2 linked regions of the Diceros bicornis minor genome follow. The protein of the gene in region 1 interacts with the protein of each later gene in a pairwise test. Links are inferred from orthologs where the notes say so. Each region holds a gene or a part of one and is shown in the gene's direction. Other genes may lie near its edges. The genes, in order: PHF1 and TFCP2.

Region 1 (10,064 bases):
GATCAAAAATCCCCATGCATTCTCTCTCCCTCTTCTCATGTTCATTTGTCTTCTTGCTGAGCACCAAATAGACTGAATTACTTGCAGTCTCTCAAATGACTCAGTTCTCACTTCAGGGCATTTTGCATATGCGCTTCCGCCTTTGTGGAGTGTTCTTTCTGTACTCCACCCTTCCCTTGGTTCACTTCTAGACTTTTGGGTGTCAGCCTAGGTATCATCTTCCTTGTGCCCCTTCTGGATATTCCCATAGCACTCCCTATTCTGGCACCCTGATTCCTATTTTCTTATCTCTTTCTTTACCAGACTGTAAAGTCCTTGGGGGCAAGGACCACCCCGCCTCCACCCCCCACCCCGCCTCTACCCCCACCCCACCTCCATCCCCCACCCCATCATGACTTGTTCTTATTCTTGGTGGCATCTCACCCTCTTTGTCTCTTCTGTTCTGGGCAGAGGAAGCTGCAGACATCAGAAGCAGCTCTGTCAGGCAGCCAAGCAGAGGTGGCATCTCTGCGGCAGGAGGCTGTGGCCCAGGCGGCCCTACTGGCTGAGCGGGGAGAACGTCTCCATGGGCTAGAGATGGAGCGCCGGCGACTACACAACCAGCTACAGGAACTCAAAGGCAACATCCGAGTGTTCTGCCGGGTCCGCCCTGTCCTTCCAGGGGAAGCCACGCCACCCCCTGGCTTCCTTCTCTTTCCCTCCGGCCCTGGTGGGCTCTCTGATCTTCCAACCCGCCTCAGCCTATCCCGGTCTGATGAGCGGCGTGGGACCCTGAGTGGGGCACCAGCCCCCCCCACCCGCCATGACTTCTCCTTTGACCGGGTATTCCCACCAGGGAGTGGACAGGACGAAGTGTTTGAGGAGATTGCCATGCTTGTCCAGTCAGCCCTGGATGGCTACCCAGTATGCATCTTTGCCTACGGCCAGACAGGCAGCGGCAAGACCTTCACAATGGAGGGGGGACCTGGGGGAGACCCCCAGGTGGAGGGGCTGATCCCTCGGGCCCTGCGGCACCTCTTCTCCATGGCTCAGGAGCTGAGTGGCCAGGGATGGACCTACAGCTTTGTGGCAAGCTATGTAGAGATCTACAATGAGACTGTCCGAGACCTGCTGGCCACTGGGACACGGAAGGGCCAGGGGGGTGAGTGTGAGATTCGCCGGGCGGGGCCAGGGAGCGAGGAGCTTACTGTCACCAATGCCCGATATGTTCCTGTCTCCTGTGAGAAAGAGGTAAGCACTGATGGGCACTGGGACTGGAAAATGGGGAGGAGTGGCAGGGTGACACGAGATGGAGGTGGATAGAGAAGGGAGCAGGAGAAAGTTGAAGGATAGGTTGCCACATGCAGTTTCAGCTGGTGGGCTGTAAGGTGGATCTGCCTTAATAGAACCAGGGAGTGGAGAGGAGTGATGCATCTGCTGAAGGGGGGTGTCGCTGGCCCCCTGCCTGTTGCATCCCAGGTCTCATGTCCTACTACTTTCCTTGCCCAATTCACTGCAGCCATGCTGGCCTCCTGGCTGTTCCTCTGCCCGCCAGTCACACTCTGGGCTGTCCCTGGCCATCCTGACTAAAATCACAACCTTCACCCCACCCTCATACACTATTTTTATGTTTTATTTTACTCCTTAGTACTCTCAGACATACTGTGCATTTTACTTATTTCTTTTGTCTCTTCACTGGCTAGAAAGAAAGGTCTAAGAGGGCAGGTGCTGACTCTCGTTCAATGCCATACTTGACATCACTGCGTACTGACTTCCTGCCTGCCTTTGCCCCTTGCTGCTCCCCATCCCCAGGTGGAGGCCCTGCTCCATCTGGCCCGCCAGAACCGGGCTGTAGCCCGCACAGCCCAGAACGAGCGGTCATCACGCAGTCACAGTGTGTTCCAGCTGCAGATCTCTGGGGAGCATGCTGCACGAGGCCTGCAGTGCGGGGCCCCCCTCAGTCTTGTGGACCTGGCCGGGAGCGAGCGGCTAGACCCCGGCTTAGCCCTTGGCCCTGGGGAGCGGGAACGCCTTCGGGAAACACAGGCCATTAACAGCAGCCTGTCCACGCTGGGGCTGGTCATCATGGCCTTGAGCAACAAGGTGGGAATGGGGGAGGGGGCAGCTGGAACCTGGTGATAGGTTGGGGCTGGCCATGCTGAACCCTGTCCTCTCCTAATCATCTGTCCCCCTCAATCCTCTAGGAGTCCCACATACCTTACCGGAACAGCAAGCTCACCTACTTGCTGCAGAACTCTCTGGGTGGCAGTGCTAAGATGTGAGTGATAGAGACACGCGGAAGGGGTCAGGTGGGAACTGTGATGTTGGGGTCAGGGGTGGGAAAGGGGAAACAGTGGAGACCTGGTCTAGGCTCCGCCCAGCCGCTGATCCTGGGGTTCGGCCCCCTTTCCTCTCTCCACAGGCTCATGTTTGTGAACATTTCCCCCCTAGAAGAGAATGTCTCCGAGTCCCTCAACTCCCTACGCTTTGCCTCCAAGGTGCGTTTACCAGCAAGCCCAGGCCCTGTCAGGACCCCTGCATTGTAAGGCTTCTCCATCTTGACCCCTTCTGTCCTCTAGGCCAGGAGGCACATTCATCCAGAAAGGATTTATATTTGCCAGGCATCTGAGGCACTACCCACCTGGATCCATTTTTTTTTTTTTTTTTTTTTTTTTTTTTTGTGAGGAGATCAGCCCTGAGCTAACATCCGCCAATCCTCCTCCTTTTTTGCTGAGGAAGACGGCCCTGGGCTAACATCCGTGCCCATCCTCCTCCACTTTATATGGGACGCCGCCACAGCATGGCCTACCAAGCAGTGCGTCGGTGCGCGCCCGGGATCCGAACCAGCGAACCCCGGGCCGCCGCAGCGGAGCGCGCGCACTCAACCGCTTGCGCCACCAGGCCGGCCCCCCATTTTTTTTTTTTTAATAATTTTATTTATTTATTTGTTTTTCCCCACAAAGCCCCAGTAGATAGCTGTATGTCATAGCTGCACATCCTTCTAGTTGCTTGGATCCATTTTTTATGTATTGGCTTTTGGGGATTTTTAATTAAGTTTTTAAAAATAGGTCGTTAAAAGGAAGGTCAAAACTATATAGAAAGCTATACACAACAAATGAAGTTTTACCACCACTGCTTCCACCCCATCTTCCCTTCCTGTCCTAGGAGAGGGAGTCATTTTTATCATTTATCATTTTACTTATCCTTCCAATGTTTCTTTTTGCAACTACAAGCAATATGCATGTGCTTATTCCTCTCCTTCTTATATAAAAGACATCCCTCATCCTCTCTGTCTCATATATATGTTGTTCCGCGCTGCATTTTGCTTAACAAGACAGCCCCAGGATTACTCCCCACCAGCACACAGAGATCATCCCATTATTCTTATGTCTGCCTGGGACTCCATTGTGTGGATGCACCAAAGTTTATCCACCAGTTCCCTCCACTGGACACTTCGATTGTTTCCACCTTTTTTCTGTTACAGGCAAGGCCGTATTGACTAATCTTGTACATATGTCATTCTGTATTTGTTTAGTTGCATCTAACTATCTAGGGGGAGATTCCTTGAAATGGGATTGCTGGATCAAAGGAGACTTAAAGGTTTTTCAGACCATTCCAAATAGTGTCAATTCAGGCTCCAAACCCCATGAGGGTTGGCTGTGGCCATGGCCATTAATCTCTAGGAGACTTATGCTCCCCTCCACTAGAGTTAAGTCAGAAAGTTTCTTTACCGTCTGCCTCTGGAGGGTCATTTTTTCCTCTGTTTACTCGTTTTCCTGAGAGTACAGCCCTACGATGGGTCCTGGCTTTACCTAGGGTCTCTGATGGTGAGCCCTGCTGCTCTTGGGCTTCAGCCCCGGTTGCTGCCATGGACATAGTCAGCCGCCTCAGCACCTGCCCTGGTCTTGTGCTTTGATCAGGATTTCCCGTGCTGTCTTGCAAGTTCAATAAAGTTATATCAACATCATGAATACCCAACAACTTGAACTCTTTAATATCTTCTAATACCCAGTTTATGTTAAATTTCACCTGATTATCTCTTTTATACATTAGGTTTGTTCCAATCAGGATTTAAGCAAGGGCTACCCCTTTCATTTGGTTGAAATTGTCTCTAAAAGAAATTTAAGTCTATAGAAACTGCACCCCCTTTTTGGCATTTATTTGTTGAAGAAATAGGGTCATTTGTCCTATACAATATACTACATTCTGGATTTTGGTTTATTGCTTCCTTTTTTCTCCATAATTTTTGTTATCTGGTAGTTAGATTTAGAGGCTTGATTAGATTTGAATCAGGCTCAGATTTTTTGGCAAGAAAAGTTAGATGGTGTGGTACACTTTCTATTGCATCATATCAGGAGGCACCTAATATCTAGTTGTTCCAGTTTTAATGATAGAAAAATGGATCATTGGATTTTGGTGTTGTCAGTCTGATCTGTCCATTTTAAAACTCCCTATTGACTTTTTCACCTAGTGGTTTTATCAAACAATGATCATACCTAGATCTGTTATTTCATTAGTAAGTTTTAAAATGGTGATTTTCAAATTGTTCTATATTTATTAGTCATAATTCTTCTCTAAAGAACTTCCCCTTGCTATCTATCTGGTTATTCTGAAACTCAGTCCCTAGAAGAAAGGCAGGATAAATGCTGGATTCTTTATCAATTTTCAGTATGTTAAGTTGATATCCTGGCAACTTCCAAAGGTAACCAGTGAATTTTTATCTGGGGGTATCATTTTACAGATGCTTGTGTATTTGATAGATATCCTTTGCAGTTGTTCTTTCTGATGCTCAAATTGTTGCATCTTTGGCCAGTGGGAGCTCCTTCAAGTTGGCTCCTGTGTCCTTTAGACAAGTTCCCAGTAATCTTTGTTCCAGATTCATCTTGTACATTTCCTGCCCTAGACTTGGAATCATTCATTTTCCAAGGAGCCTTGGTTCCTAAATGAGTGTTGTTATTGCTTTATCTAGCATATTAAGCATTAGTAGTGGGAGGGCTTTGGGGTCTCTAGTCCACAGTATCTCTAGAAATGGAAGCTCCTCTCTGCTGTTGTGTGGGGCTGCCATCCCTTCTCAGGCCTTTTCACCTCTTCCAGATCTGGTGTGCCTAGTGGGCACAGAACTCACTGTAACTGAGACCAGCCCGAACCTGCCTTCAGAGCTGTTATTTCAGTATTCTCTGAGGGCAGCCCTAATAGTGTGGGTTGGGAGGTGATCTTGGGAAAACTATTCTTTTGGTTACTCTGAAAATTTTTTTATCCTGTCTAAACCTGCCCACAGGTGAACCAGTGTGTTATTGGTACTGCCCAGGCCAACAGGAAATGAAGACAGATCCAGATCCTCTGTGGGGGGCGGGGGGGGGGGGCGGGGACGGAGTGGGAGGCTGAGGGATGCTTCGTTGGGAGGGGGCGCTGTGTTACCTGGGCCTATCAAATAAAGAACAGTTTTTTGTTGTTTTTTTAAAAATAAAGGTTGTATTAGCTGTTGCCCAAGAAGGGAGATATTTTTCTTATCTGTAAAGATGAGAACTATGGGTCTGGCCAGTCGGCCAAGCATTTGTGTTTTGCCGAGCGAGGGCTTGGCTTTTCTCCCTGACATGCCGTCCCCTGGAGTCTGGGTGGCCTTCAGCTCCCATGCCCTCCCCCGTCGTCCACATCCAGGATATGTGCCCGCTAGCCATCCACAGTCACTAGTTGGGGCTCCCCCTTGCACGGGCCACGCCAGCCCCGGGCAGGAATGCTCCTGCGGTAGCTGTGGGAAGGTGGGCACCCGAGCCCAGGGGCGGGACCGGCGCGCCCTCCCACAAACTGCTGGCTCTTTTCTCCCGCCCTTTCCCTGCCTTCCCGTTCGAACGGCCAGGGCCGGCCCCGCCCGCTGCCCATTGGCTGGCTCTAGGTGGCGTCACCGCCTCGGTACGAACCTCCTGGTCCGTGCCCCCGCCCTGGAAGCGCGGGGCGGGACGCACGCCCGCCGAATCCCTCGCGCCAACCGCCAACGGCCGCCGCCCCATGAAGGAGGGGCTCAGTGCTCCCAGGTGCCGCGCGCGGGAGGGGTCACGCGTGCGCAGAAGCGCGGCAGTGGCGGGGGGACAACTTGCCACGGGGAGGGCGGGGCCGGGGGCAACGGATGGAGGAGGGCGTGGCGGGGGCAATGGGAAGGGTGACTGGAGGGCGGGGTCGTGAACTGGGGCCGAGGGGCGGGGCTTGGAGTGACCGTGGAGGTGGGGGGGGCAGTTAACGGATGTGGCATGGGGCGGGGGCCAGTCCGAAGGCGGGTTGCCGGGAGGGGGGATTCCCTCCTGCCCCGAGGGCGGGTCTCCCTTCGGAGGAAGGGGCTGCGGGGATTCCCTCTCCCGCGGGGTCCGACCGTCCGCCCGGCTCAGCTGCGGAGAGGCCGCCGCTTGCTCGGCGCCCTCCAGGCCTGTTGGAGGTGAGGGAGGTGGGGTGAGGTGGTGCCCGCCTCTCCGCCCCCCCTCCCGGCTCCTCCTTCCCCCCAGTCCTCCCCTCCCACCACCCTCCCCCCGAGCCGGTTTGTCCCTCCCCTCCTCTCCCCTCCTTTCCCCCGCCGCCTCCTCCTGCCGCTGCCGCTGCTTTGGCTGCTGCGTCATACGCCCCAGAGCCGCCGGGACGGAGGGGCTGGGCCTGGGGACCCCCCGGCCTCTGCCTGCACGCCCCCCGACGCCCAGACGTGCCCTCCTCGCGCGGGGGGTTCGCCTCGGTCTCCCACGTCTGCCACTGCCCGGCTCTCGGCGGCCCCAGCTGTCACTGGTAAGGAGGCGGCGGGAGGCGCCCGTGGGGGGGCAGGGAGCCGGGGGTCGGCGCGCAGGGCGCGGGCGGGAGAGCCTCGCCGCTCTGGCATCGGGTCCGGCTGGGCCGACTCAAGTCCCCTCTCGGACTCGCCGTCATGGGGAGTAGAGACCGGGACTGGGACACGCCCCCCTCCCGGGGCACTCAGGGAACTTATCTAACCCGGGGGCAGGGAGCCCCGAATTTGAGGGTGACCTGATGTAACCTGGCACCAGGATGATTGTTCTGAATGAGACATGCCGGCCCCGGGAGGCAGCTGTTTCTACTCTGGAAAACATCTCCCGAAAAGCTCCCAAAACACATCTCTGGGTAACAGCACCCCAATTATGATACCTCTCAACAGCAAGAGAAGGTGACAGTAGAAACTGAGTGGTAACCTTTGCTTCTGCAACCATCGTTTCTGCTGAAATCTCAGGCCAGGATATAATATCCCAGGGGAGCTCTGGAAGCTGGGAAACTAGACAACTAGGTTGGGGGGCTGGTTAGGGAAAGGAGAGCCAGTCACTAGAGTTGGGAGAACTAGAGTCAAGAAGCTTGGGAGGGGTGCCGAGAGGTTTCCTATCCAGATGTCTCAGGGATTTAGAGACTGGGGGCACAGCCGCCTGAGACCTTGAAAGAAACATAGGCAAACAAAATGGGGCCAGTCTCTCAGCATTCATAACCTCCTCCTCCTCCCATCCCACTTCTGGCTAGGCCCCCCCCAGGATGCAATGGCACAGCCCCCCCGGCTGAGCCGCTCTGGTGCCCTCCCTCTTTGGGATCCAGCTTCCCCTGCTCCCACCTCAGGCCCCAGGCCTCGACTTTGGGAGGGTCAAGATGTGCTGGCCAGATGGACAGATGGGCTTCTATACTTGGGGACCATCAAGAAGGTAAGACCTTTGACCTCTGACCTGTTTCCTTTTCCCCATTCCCCTTATCTACTTCTGATTCCTGTTTCATCCTCTGTGCTCACCCATTCCAGGTGGACAGCGTTCGGGAGGTGTGTCTGGTCCAGTTTGAGGATGATTCTCAGTTTCTGGTTCTATGGAAAGATATTAGCCCTGGTGAGATCCCCAAGGCCTCAGAGTGTACATCCCACAGAAAACAGAAAACTGGCTTGGGGGACAGCAAGGGGCTCAAGCACAGGCCCATTGACACTGTGTTCCTTCACAGCTGCTCTCCCTGGGGAGGAACTCCTCTGCTGTGTCTGTCGCTCTGAGACCGTGGTCCCTGGGAACCGGCTGGTCAGCTGTGAGAAGTGTCGCCACGGTGAGAGGGCAGGACACCTGAATTGTCCAGCTTGCCCTGGGCCTTCCAGGCTACTTCTGACTCCTCCCTCCAGCACTGGTCCTTATGCCACCTGTCCTGGCCTGAGTCCCCCGGCTACTGCCACTGCTCTTGCCAGTCTCCTCAACCCTGTAAGCTCATTCCTTTCTAGCACAGCAAGAGGCAGCCATGGAATGGGGATGTGTGAGCTTTGTGTGCAGAGGGTGGTTCAAATACACTCTTTTCTAGTCATATGACCTTGGGCAAGTCCCTAAACTTCTAGGAGCCTCAGTTCCCTTACCTGTAAAATAAGGGCAATACACCCACCCCAGCAGGACCATGGTCAAGGATTAAATGAGATGGATAAGACTTCCTGTTCCAATACCTTGCACACACAGGTTGCATACACATGCACATACCAGTTGCAATAAGTGGTCAACCATCAATATTATCATTATTCAGCTTATCACCAGGACTGCCATGTTCCAAGGGCCCCAGCCCCTGGAGAGGGAGAGGGCACATCCTGGGTCTGCCGCCAGTGTGTCTTTGCCATCGCCACCAAGGTAAAGGCACCTTCCTGTGGGAGCCTGCCACCCACATCCTCTCCCAAGCCTTTCCTGTCCCCACTCCTCTGAGGTGCCTGGCGTGCCTGTTCTGTCTCTGCAGAGGGGTGGTGCACTGAAGAAGGGCCCCTATGCCCGTGCCATGCTGGGCATGAAGCTCTCTCTGCCATACGGACTAAAGGGGCTGGACTGGGACGCTGGACATCTGAGCAACCGGCAACAGAGCTACTGTTACTGTGGTGGCCCTGGGGAGTGAGTTATGAGGGGCGGGGGGGTTAAGGAATGAGTGTGATGTGGTGGTGGGGGGAATCCCAGGAAGTGAAGGATAAAAAACAAGGCAAGGGGAGTGCTGAAGGGGATGAAAGTAGGTGGTTTGGGTCAGTTAAGGGGGGAAGTGTCTGGAGGTCATTAGTCCTGGCTCCCCTTCAGGTGGAACCTGAAAATGCTACAGTGCCGGAGCTGCCTGCAATGGTTCCACGAGGCCTGCACCCAGTGTCTGAGCAAGCCCCTCCTCTATGGGGACAGGTGAGACCAGGGCAGACTCTCCAGGAGCCGAGGGAGCCCTCCTGCTCTGCTCCACCCTCTCAGATCCCTTCTCTTCCCAACCTCTGAAGCTTTCCCCCACCTGTTCGCCCCATCCTTGCTTGTGAGTCCTCCGTAGCATGGTACAGTTTTCCTGTGTAAGGGGTGTTCTCTCCCTCTTGTCCACATCCAGGTTCTATGAGTTTGAATGCTGTGTGTGTCGGGGGGGCCCGGAGAAGGTCAGGAGGCTACAGCTTCGCTGGTGAGCTGGATTGGGCACAACCTCAGCATAACTCCTCTCTCAACAGCCCCAGTATTTCACCCTACATGCCCCAACCTTCCACCTCAGGACTCCCTTGGCTTTTGTAATGCTTCCACAACCCTGACAACTCAATGTTTCTGCAGGGTGGATGTGGCCCATCTTGTCCTCTATCACCTCAGCGTTTGCTGTAAGAAAAAATATTTTGATTTTGACCGCGAGATCCTCCCCTTCACCTCTGAGAATTGGGACAGTTTGCTCCTTGGGGAGGTAAGGGGTAGTGAAGCTTTGGGGGTTAGGGTGAAACAAGGAGATGTGAAGAATAGGGGAAGGGAGGGATCACTGCTCCCCTGATCCCATTTTCTTTCCGCTTTCCCAGCTCTCAGACACCCCCAAGGGAGAACGTTCTTCCAAGCTCCTATCTGCTCTCAACAGCCACAAGGACCGGTAAGTTGGAAGGAGGCTCAGAAAGAGATGGAGATATGGATATGGAAGCCTGGGAAGGGAGAGGCCACAACTTACCTGGAAGATCATCTCTGAAAAGGACTGAATAATGGCATCAGAGGGGCGCTTTTCTACAGCACTGACCCTATGTCATTTCTCTCCTCACCCCAGTTTCATTTCAGGGAGGGAGATTAAGAAGAGGAAATGCTTGTTTGGTCTCCATGCTCGGATCCCTCCCCCTGTGGAGC
Region 2 (10,127 bases), on another chromosome or scaffold:
ACAATATGGCAGATGTCCAGCATGCTGTGGACAGCAGTGAAGGGGGAACTAACCTTTTATGGACTGGAGAAGATGTGAGCTGGTTTCTGGAGTCGAGATGAGAGATGAAGGGAACCTGAGGTTGCATGGAACTGTGTGACCGTGAAAACTTTTGATTTCCTTTTCTCTCAACTGCAGAGTCCTTTAAAGAAGCCAGACTGGGCCTCACAGGCTCCCTGGGTGGGATGTAAGAAGATGGGAAGAATTAAAGCTAGATTGTCAGTCCCTCAAAAACCCTGCCTGAATGAGGGTTCCTTCCTGTATCTGGAGGAAAATGCCCAGTGATTGACCTGGGAACCCAGCAACAGTGACTGACTTGAGCAAATGGGTGAGAAGGGAAGCCTAGGGGATGGATGGGTGCTGATCCAAGGAGCTTGAGCCCTCAAGCCTCTGAGACAATTGATTTGTCTTCAGAGGTAGGCAGGACAAGTGCTAGGGTCCCTTTTCTGTCAATCATAACAATAGCTAACCTGTACTGATCACTGACTATGTGCTGGGCACTCTTCTAAGCACTTAACGTGCATTATTTCAGTTACTTCTCACCATCATTCTATAAATTAAGAACTATTATTATGCCCATTTTACAGATAAGGAATTGAGGAATAGAAAAGATGGGGAATTTACTCAGGGTTGCTTTGTTTTTGAGCAGCAGAAGGAAGTCTTAGACCCAGGTGGGCTGTCTCTAAAGCCTGTGTGCTTAACCTTAGCCCATACAGGGTGGGACCTGAGGATTGCTGTCTATCTTGATCTTTTTGGTAGGATTTCCACATGTTTCCCCCCACCAGTGTAGGCTCTGCTATGTTCCATCTACACAGTGTCTAGTTTCAGGACCTAATCCAGGGAAATGAACCCTTCACAATGAGCCCTAACTTCACCCAACGGTCCAGAACACCAAATTTGGAGCTCTGTGCCACAGGTGCTGTGGTTAATTAGTCATATTTATTAGGTCTAATAGGAGCCATGATTTTTGTTGTGGGATGAATTTATGGGTACAAAAATTTGGTTTATTGATAGGTGTTTCTGGATTTCCAGGGGAACACCTGGAGGTCTTTTCTTGGAGGCAGATCCCCCAGCCTGCCACTGGAATCCCTGTTTCCAGCCCTGGCACTCCAATTTTGCTCTTGGTTACATTTGGGGAAGATAAGGAAGGAAAAAGTGTACTCCCCCAACTCACAGAATTCCAGGCGTAAACAGTCTGTAAGGTCTTCTCTCCTCAGGAGAACCGAGTTCAAGGGCATAAATCTCAAGACTGATCTGCATTCCACTTGGGAGGGGTCAAAGCTTAAGAGTCACCTTTCAATTCACCTCGGTTTACTTTAGAATTAATAAATGGTAAGCAGGACCTTCGTGAAATCTTTATTTTGGTTCAGAATTTAAACTTAGGCTCAAACATTTCCAAGAAGTACATGTCTGTTTTTTTCTAAGTATTTTCCAGAGGACAGGGTTCCATGAGACTCCTGGATATGGCACAATCATCTCTTCCAAACATCTAATGTGAATACTCCTTGTTGTATTTTAAATCCATTTCCTTTAAGCTATTTTTCTGTGTAGGGAAAACATGCTCCATCCAATATTCCTTCATGGGCTACAGTTTTCTGAAAATTCAATTCTCTCACCCCACAAGCTTCAAAATTCATCTCTGAAAAGAAGGATAGGTAGGAAGCAGGTATTTTTTAGGTTATAAGCATCCACACGCACAGCGTGGCGTGATGGTTAGACGCCCAGACTGCGTGGTCAATCAGTGAGGCTTCACCACTCTCAAGCTGGGTGACCCTGGATGGGCCAATCAATTTTTCTAAGCCTCACATTCCTTATCTATGAAATAAGTTTAATAATGGTACCTTCCTTCCAGTGGTGATGTGAGGATGAAATGAGATAATATACGTAAAGAACCTAGTCAGGGTTTGGCACTTAGGAAGGGCTCAGTAGATACGGGCCTGTCATTATTATCAGCTATTATTTGCTCTGTGTCTGGACAGTTCCTAGGACTGTACCACCAGCAGGGAGGCATCACTGTAGGCAGATCTCAGCTATAAGAATCAGGGACCTGGACTGTAGTTCCTGGCTCAGCTGCTAATTTACGTAATATTTGTTACATATTCAAGACCACACTTTTTGGGTAATTTATGAAGCAAAATGATGAAACAAATAATAACTCACAGATCTACTGTTACCTGGCCCACTGACCTCATAAGGCGTTAACCACAACCCTGCTCAGAACAAGCCTAACACGTTCTCTTTAACTTACAGGAAACCACAAAGAGAGGAAGGAGGAGATGGCTGAGACATAGGTCAAATCCAGTTAAAACCGGTTGAAGGCAACATGGCAGTCCGACTTGACCTGACATAGACCCCACAGCTCCTCATATGCTCATTATAGTACATTACCACATTACAGAACACACACACCGACGCCATGACAGTTTACAACTGCCATGGCAACCGCAGGATATAACCAAATAAGAAAAGAGGAGGCACCCTCGCTCCCCAGAAAAGCCTGCCCATTTCCCCAAATAACTATGAATATTCCTCCCCTTCATTACCTAGACCCCTTATAACAGCTGCTTAATCACCCCAGGAGCTGACAAGTGGATTTGTGAACTTAGGTCCCGCTTTTCCATTCTTTGACCATTGAACAAAGCTTGTGCCGCTGACCTCTCAGCTTCTATGTCATTTCACATCTGCGACACCAAATAGGAAAGAACCCTTCAAGGAAGGGACAGATTGTGGGTACAGGGCCCACATGTGGGCCCCTCCTTGGAGCTCCTCTGAGTGTGAGTGAGGTGAAATTCGTAACACCACCACTCAACTTAACTACCACTGTTGAAGCTACTTTTGAGTTCCTCCTCTACCAGCACCCCACCACCCCCACCACATTTTCTTATATGTGGCCACCACAGAGTCTTGTTTATCTTTTCACGCCCCCCCCCCTTTTTTTTTGTGAGGAAGATCAGCCCTGAGCTAACTTCTGTTCCCAATCCTCATCTTTTTGCTGAGGAAGATTGGCCCTGGGCCAATATCTGTGCCCATCTTCCTCTACTTTATATGGGACGCTGCCACAGCATGGCTTGTTAAGCGGTGCGTTGGTCTGCGCCCAGGATCTGAACCTAACCACTACACCACCTGGCCGGCCCCTTCCTTCCTTTTTTAAAGGAATGTGTGTATATTTCCCTAAATGATATATTGCTTAATTTTGCTGGGGTTTGAGCTTTATAAAACGATGTTACACTGCATGAGGACTTCCCCATTTTCCCCCACGTTTCTAAGATTGATTTATTCACTTGGTTGAGTATAGCTTTATTCATTTTTTAAAGTTTTATTCATTTTTACTGCTGTATAATCTTCTATCCCACGCCAATTTATCCGTTCTCTTGTTGGTGGACATTTGTTTTGTTCTGTTTTGTTGCTATAAATAGTGTTGGCATGAACATTCTCATACAAGTCTCCTGGTACATATGTGCAAGAGTTCTCTAGGGTTCATATATAGAGTGGAGTCGCTGAATCACAGAATAATTCTCAGGATGGTTTCTAAAGAGGTTGCAGTCTGCTTGAACACTCTCCCTCTCTTAGTTTCAGTTTCTGCATAGTAAAAAAACAAAACAAACGCTTTCATGAGGATTAAATAAGACATATTTAATTATGTTTTAATTAAATATACATTAAAGTGATACCAAAATTATAACACACCATACAATGTAAATTAATGTTTTTAAATAGGATGATAATACCAACCCAATCTTAACAGAGAAGTGGAAATGGGGTAGTAGGAGACAGGAGCTAACATTTATTGAATAATTATTATTTTTGTGGCATCTTGGCACTTCATTTAATCCTCACAATTTTAGGAGGAGGTATTATTTTCACTAATTTATGGATTAAAGTACTGAGGCTCAGAGATGTAAAGTTATTTGCCCAAGATTATGCATCTAGTGACAGAGCTGTTGTTCAAACAAGGCATGGTTCCACCTAATAGATGTTTTAAAATACTCTAGATACACTGCTTGAATACAAAGGATTTTGCCAAGACTTGGATGCCAGAGCTTATTAAGGTAAGAAGATGGGTAAGACTAGAGCCCTCAAAGAGAGAAGACTGTAGCTGAAACTGGGGGTATGCTGTCAACTTCATGTCAACCTCTCTCCTCTCTTTCTTTCCTTTTTAAATTCAATAAGTATTTTTTAAAGTCCTATTGAATGCAGGAACTATACTAGGAGATATTAAGAACACAAGCCTGAAGAAGACTTATTCCCTATTCTTTAGGAGATCACAGTCTAGAGAAAAAGGCAGATATATACGAAATTATAATTCAAGGTAGATTGTAAAAAATTCAGTAGTGGAATACAATGAACCAATACTTTCACATATAGGCAATGCCTTGTAGTGAAAAATGTCAGGCTTTGGAATCAACTCTGAAGTTGGCACACCAATTTAGCTTTGGCCAATTTAAGCCCTTAGCCTCCTCTCCTTATTGGTAAAATCAGGTCCATAACACTTACCTTTAGAAAGATAATTCTAGTCACAAGATTGTCTTGAGGATTACTGATAATGTAATAAAGTTCCTGCCATATAGTTAATGCCCAATAAGCAATGGACATTATTATTTAATCCCCAAAGGAGGAAGGTGGTGCAGGTATGGTTATTCCTACATTTCAAATGAGGAAGCTAAATCTCAATGAGATGAAGCTATTATTCTGAAGTCACCAAACTAGTAAGTGAAGATGCCAGCCCAAATTCCAATCTTTAGACCACTACCTTTTTTTGTGTGTGTGTGAGGAGATCAGCCCTGTGCTAACATCTGCCAATCCTCCTCTTTTTGCTGAGGAAAACTGGCCCTGGGCTAACATCCGTGCCCATCCTCCTCCACTTTATTTATTTTTTCCCCCCAAAGCCCCAGTAGATAGTTGTATGTCATAGCTGCACATCGTTCTAGTTGCTGTATGTGGGATGCTGCCTCAGCATGGCCGGAGAAGTGGTGCATTGGTACGCCCCCAGGGATCCAAACACCCGCCGCCAGCAGCGGAGCACGCGCACTTAACCGCTAAGCCAGGGGCAGGCCCCCAGACCACTACCTTTTAAAAACCACAACACTTTCACCCATCTCATGCTTTCCTGTTCAAATGCACTAGGAAGAAGGCAGAAAGTAAAATGATCAAGGGAAATCGGATTTAAGCAGTCTTGACCTCCGGAGAAGTGAGTCTAAGGACAGAGAGTATCTCAGGAGGAAACGAGCACGCGTCCGCCAGGACTGGGTGTGGGTTCGGTACACCTAGAGCGAAAGCTCCACCCACGCCTTAGGGTTCCGACTCGGTAAGTAGCGGATGCCAAAACTCAGGTAGCCACAAGGAGGGACGTTTAAACCGGGACACCTGACGCACGCCGGGCCCTCTCCCGGATTGCCCAGCCCATCTCCGGGGGGCGGGAAGCCGTGTCGTAGCTAGCCTATCATCACTGCCGAGGCCGACGACGTCTCTTCCCCATTGGCGGGCGGCAGAGTGACGTCACGTTCGCCGGACCGGCAAAGGAAGAGGGCGCCATGATTGGTTGGCGCTGGGGCCGCGGGCGGTGGAGGAGCTCGGCGAGTCTGGGTTTCACGCCGGTGTCGGACTTTTCCCTTCCATGTGTCGAGGCCGTGGGGGGCTGCAGAGGGAGGGGAGTCGGCTCGGCGGAAACCTGGATTTGGTTCTAAGAGCCGTGGGGTTGAGCGGGGGTGACCGGAAGTGATCTTGGGACTGACCGGAAGCCAGGCCTGGAGGGGACAGGGAGAGCGGGTCCCCGGAGGGAGGGGGCTCCCAGTGGAAGGGGGCGGGGGGAGAGGTGGGAGAGCGGAGTGGGAGCGCCGGGTAGGCGGCGCGTGCCGCTGCTGGTCTGTTTGGAAAGCAGTGTGACCACCACGAACCCAAGGAGTGGGAGTATGGGAGTCCAGGGCTGCCTCTGGGCAGTCTGGAGTAGTTAAGCAAAGGGGCCCTCGTGCGGCTCCAGAGAGCTGGGTGGGAGGGGTTTTCAGTCGGGGCAGCCAAGAGCAAGGAGGCAAGGGTACGGGCGGTTAGTTAGATTGTGCGGGCAGTGCGGGTTGGGCTTGGGGGTGGCTGGTAGGTACTGTGTGGGAGATCTTGGTTTGGAGTTTTCTACAGTCTTGCCCCTGGTGGGTAGAATCACACTACTCGCCTTTGTACAAGAAAACGGTGTCTCCTGGGGCAGCGAAGGAGCCAGGATGGCCTGGGCTCTGAAGCTGCCTCTGGCCGATGAAGTGATTGAATCCGGGCTGGTGCAGGACTTTGATGCTAGTCTCTCCGGGATCGGCCAGGAACTGGGTGCTGGTGCCTATAGCATGAGGTGAGTGAGATTTTCCCAGACCCTGCACCTTCTGAATAACAAAGGCAGGATAGAGAATAAGGAAAAAAAAAAAAAAAAAAAAAAGAGGTGTATAGAGTTAAAGAAGCTGTCTGCGGGTAGGGAAAAGGGACTTGTTTCTTAGGTTGCTTTGAGTAGTGATTGTTGTGGAAGAAATGGAACAAGAGATTGTAGGCATGTCAAGTCTGTGCAAGATAAGTCGAAGAAAGAAGGGCCTTGGATTAGCAACCAGATGAGAGGTTGTTGTGCCGGTGTGGGAGACTTGGAGACTGATGGTGTGTGTGGATGGGTTGGGCTGGACTTGTGTGAAGAGGAGGCCAAACTGAGCATGTGAGAGAAATCTAGGGAGTTGGGGAGTTGGGAGGTAGGCTTAGTGAAAATTGTTTGCTTTTTGTGAGGAAATGTGAGACCTTGGTGAAGAAGTTCACCCATCCGTATTTTAGCCTACTTTAAGACTTTACTTAGTTCTAGGGTTTCTGATTTTTGAAACATAAGCTGTGAAATGAAAAAGTGTCATAGAGAACTTTTAGATGCTTAGACCTTCGTATATCAAGCTAAATGCTGATAATAAATAAAAGTCTCCTTTGAAAGCAGCATAACTTCCCGTGTAATTTATTTGCATGCATTAGCTATTTCATTCCCCCAGCAGTTTGTTTCATTTATAGGATGTGCAAGAATCACGTCTGGAAATGTTGAATTACCAGCATCTTAGGGTTAGATGGAATATAATTGGGGTTCCAAATGCATTTTAAGGCTTAATCTAAATAAGTAAGTCAAAAGAGATGTTACAACTTAACACTTTAATTGAGTTTATGGGTTTATAGGGGAAAGACGCTTTTTATGGAGGACAAATTCTGCATCTGATAGTGAGGTCCTTTGAGAGTTATGTAATTGAAACTTCCTTTCTTTATCCCTGCTAAACCAAAGTCGACTTTCCTCACTGAAGTAAAATTACGAGTTAGAACTTAATAGTTCATCTTCAGAAATCTTTGCTTACAGTTAGGATAATAAAGGCTCTCCTTGTATACATATTTTCATGATTTTTAGGGAAATTTGAGTTCTATCATGCAATGCTGTTAGTCTTGAGGAATTTAACTCTGGTTTTGCCTGTCATTGTTTACGTAAGTCTGACCATAAAAATAGAGATTAACTTGGTCTGAAAGTAAATGTCCCAGCCCTGAGCTTGCATGTCAGTTATCTGACATAATATTTGACAGTTTATGCTGTTCATGTAAAGATTACTACAGCAAAAAGTTTGGTTTTGTCTAGGTTATTGGATTTTGGGTTGGAGATAATTAAATATAACTGTACTTGTTATAAAAATAGTTAACATTGTCAGCAAACATTTGCTCATCTACTACGTGCTCTCTCTACCACGCAACCTTACATTTGTATTTTCCTGTGTCATACCCTGAGTGGCCTTCACAGGTATTAGTAGAATGGCTTGCATATGTACACATTTAGAATTTTTTTCCATCATCAAATCCGCGTGAGTTTTCAAATATCACTTTATGTTTTCCCCAGAGCACACTGTGCCAAAATTTTAAGTATTTTTTTCACCTTCCTCTTTTTCATCCATTTTGCTTTTGTAACTTCTCTTGACTCTTACATACATTTAATCATTTGCATTGATTTGTGTTAATTAGATATTAGTTGTCAAACTTGAGCATTCATGAGAATCATCTGGAGTTCTTATTCAAAATAGTTTCCAGGGCCCCATTTTCCGTGACTGGGGCACAGACCAGAAATCTGATTTTTGTAAAACAAGTTCTTAGATGATTTTGCTGCAGGTAGTCCAGGGACCCTGTTTTGAGAAACACTGGCTGGAGCAGTTTTTAGACACAAAGACAGTGATTCTTTGCTCTTCCTGTAATTAGACCTTGTGATCGCTTGTCCTACACCTTTTTTAGGCAAGATGTCCTCTTTGACAAGCAATTTGTTTTGTAAAATATTTTCCTTAATGTATTTATTTTACCCTAGTTTGCTTATTTTCTGCTACATGGTATAATAGTTTCGCTTCATATCTGTTAATTTATATTTGATGAAGATTCATCTGAACTGGATTTCTGTTTTTGATTCTTGATCCGCCATTGTATTCAGTAAAGTTCTTTTCATAAGTGGTCCTTGAATATTCTCCTTACTTTTTTCCTTATGTTTTAATACATGGCACAAACTTTATGGTTAAAATAAAGGAAATGCCCTGAAAATATGCTGAGTGAAAGAAGCCAGTCGCAAAAGATCACATAACATCTGATTTCATTTCTATGAAATGTCTAGAATAGGCAAATCAATAGAGACAGAAAGTAGATTAGTGGTTGACTAGAGCTGTGGAGGAAGAGGGACTGGGCATGACTGCAAATGCGTACTGGTTTTTTTTCGGGGGGGGTGATAAAAATGTTCTAAAATTGTGATGATGGTTGCACAACTCTGTGACCACACTAAAGACAATTGAATTGCACACTTTAAATGGATGAATTGTATGGTATATAAATTGTATCTCAATAGAACTGTTATAAAAAAAGAGTAAAAAGATTAAATTTTGTGGTTTTTTTTTTTAAATTTTCCCCTTTCTCTCATTCCATTTTTTTTTAAGTTGAGGTGGAATTGACATTACGTAGAATTAATCGTTTTAAAGTGAACAACTCAGTGGCATTTAGTATGTTCATGATATTGTGCAATCACCACCTCTTATCTAGTTCCAAAACATTTTCATCACCCCCGAAGAAAACCCTGTACCTGTTAAGCAATTGCTCTCCATTTCCCCTTCCCCTCTCTTCCTGCTAATCACTAATATGCAATCTGTATCTATGGATTTACCTATTCTGGATATATTATATACAGTGGTCCCCCCTTATAAGCTGGGGGTTCGTTCCAAGACCCCGCAGTGGATGCCCGAAACTGCGGATAGTACCAAACCCTATACTATGTTTTTTCCTATATATACATACTTGCGATAAAGTTTAATTTATAAGTTACTCACAGTAAGAGATTAACAACAATAACTAATAATAAAATAGAACAATTATTATACTGTAATAAAAGTTATGTGAATGTGGTCTCTCTCTCTTTCAATCCAAATCTATTCCTGAATCTGTGTAACCATCCCTTTCTTGCAGTAAGAGGCTTGGTGTCACACGTTTCAGGGGATCCCTTGCTGATGTCTTCGTATAGGCTCAGTGCTTTCTGGCACAACACGTCACCACCATTTGGAACACGTTTTCTTTCTTTCTTTTTTTTTTTTGAGAGGAAGATTAGCCGTGAGCTAACATCCGTTGCCAATCCTCCTTTTTTGCTGAGGAAGATTGGCCCTGGGCTAACATCTGTACCCATCTTCCTCTACTTTATATGGGATCCCGCCACAGCATGGCCTGACAAGCGGTGCATTGGTCGGCGCCTGGGATCTGAACCTGCGAACCCTGGGCCACCAAAGTGGAATGTGCGAACTTAACCGCTATGCCACTGGCCAGGCCCCTGGAACATGTTTTCTGTTTGTGTCTTCCACCCACAAATGTAATTTCTTTTCCGTCTTAACTAAGCACTTATCACACTGTGGCCATAACTTGCAGCTTGAGGTGCAACAGCAAAACTAGCACGAATTTCTTTTCCCGTCTTCTCAATTTCACCGATAGAAGATTTGTTCTTACTGTAGATCTTAGCAACCTCAGCATATGATTTTTTCTTTCCTTATTAAGTTGAGAACTTTCCCCTTTTCACTTAAAGGAAGTGCTTTACGGCTTCT

The links.
Region 2: the proteins of PHF1 (region 1) and TFCP2 interact in binary tests that used the Homo sapiens proteins (3 or more experiments, as listed by UniProt). The two-hybrid records come from large-scale screens. The link is inferred for Diceros bicornis minor from reciprocal best matches to the Homo sapiens genes PHF1 and TFCP2.

The regions. Positions count from the first base shown.
Region 1 is NC_080753.1:31,078,380-31,088,443, reverse strand, and holds the start of PHF1 (PHD finger protein 1), read left to right. Parts: upstream 1-6,266; 5' UTR 6,267-6,744; intron 6,745-6,767; exon of another isoform or gene 6,768-6,998; 5' UTR 6,999-7,019; coding exon 7,020-7,092; intron 7,093-7,476; coding exon 7,477-7,652; intron 7,653-7,744; coding exon 7,745-7,826; intron 7,827-7,935; coding exon 7,936-8,031; intron 8,032-8,490; coding exon 8,491-8,591; intron 8,592-8,694; coding exon 8,695-8,843; intron 8,844-9,020; coding exon 9,021-9,116; intron 9,117-9,306; coding exon 9,307-9,375; intron 9,376-9,518; coding exon 9,519-9,642; intron 9,643-9,751; coding exon 9,752-9,819; intron 9,820-9,987; coding exon 9,988-10,064. Other genes in the region: kinesin-like protein KIFC1, read left to right, coding at 451-1,230, 1,792-2,082, 2,184-2,257, 2,402-2,477, 5,258-5,302. UniProt on the Homo sapiens protein: Polycomb group (PcG) that specifically binds histone H3 trimethylated at 'Lys-36' (H3K36me3) and recruits the PRC2 complex. Involved in DNA damage response and is recruited at double-strand breaks (DSBs).
Region 2 is NC_080756.1:18,721,476-18,731,602, forward strand, and holds the start of TFCP2 (alpha-globin transcription factor CP2), read left to right. Parts: upstream 1-5,841; 5' UTR 5,842-6,248; coding exon 6,249-6,370; intron 6,371-10,127.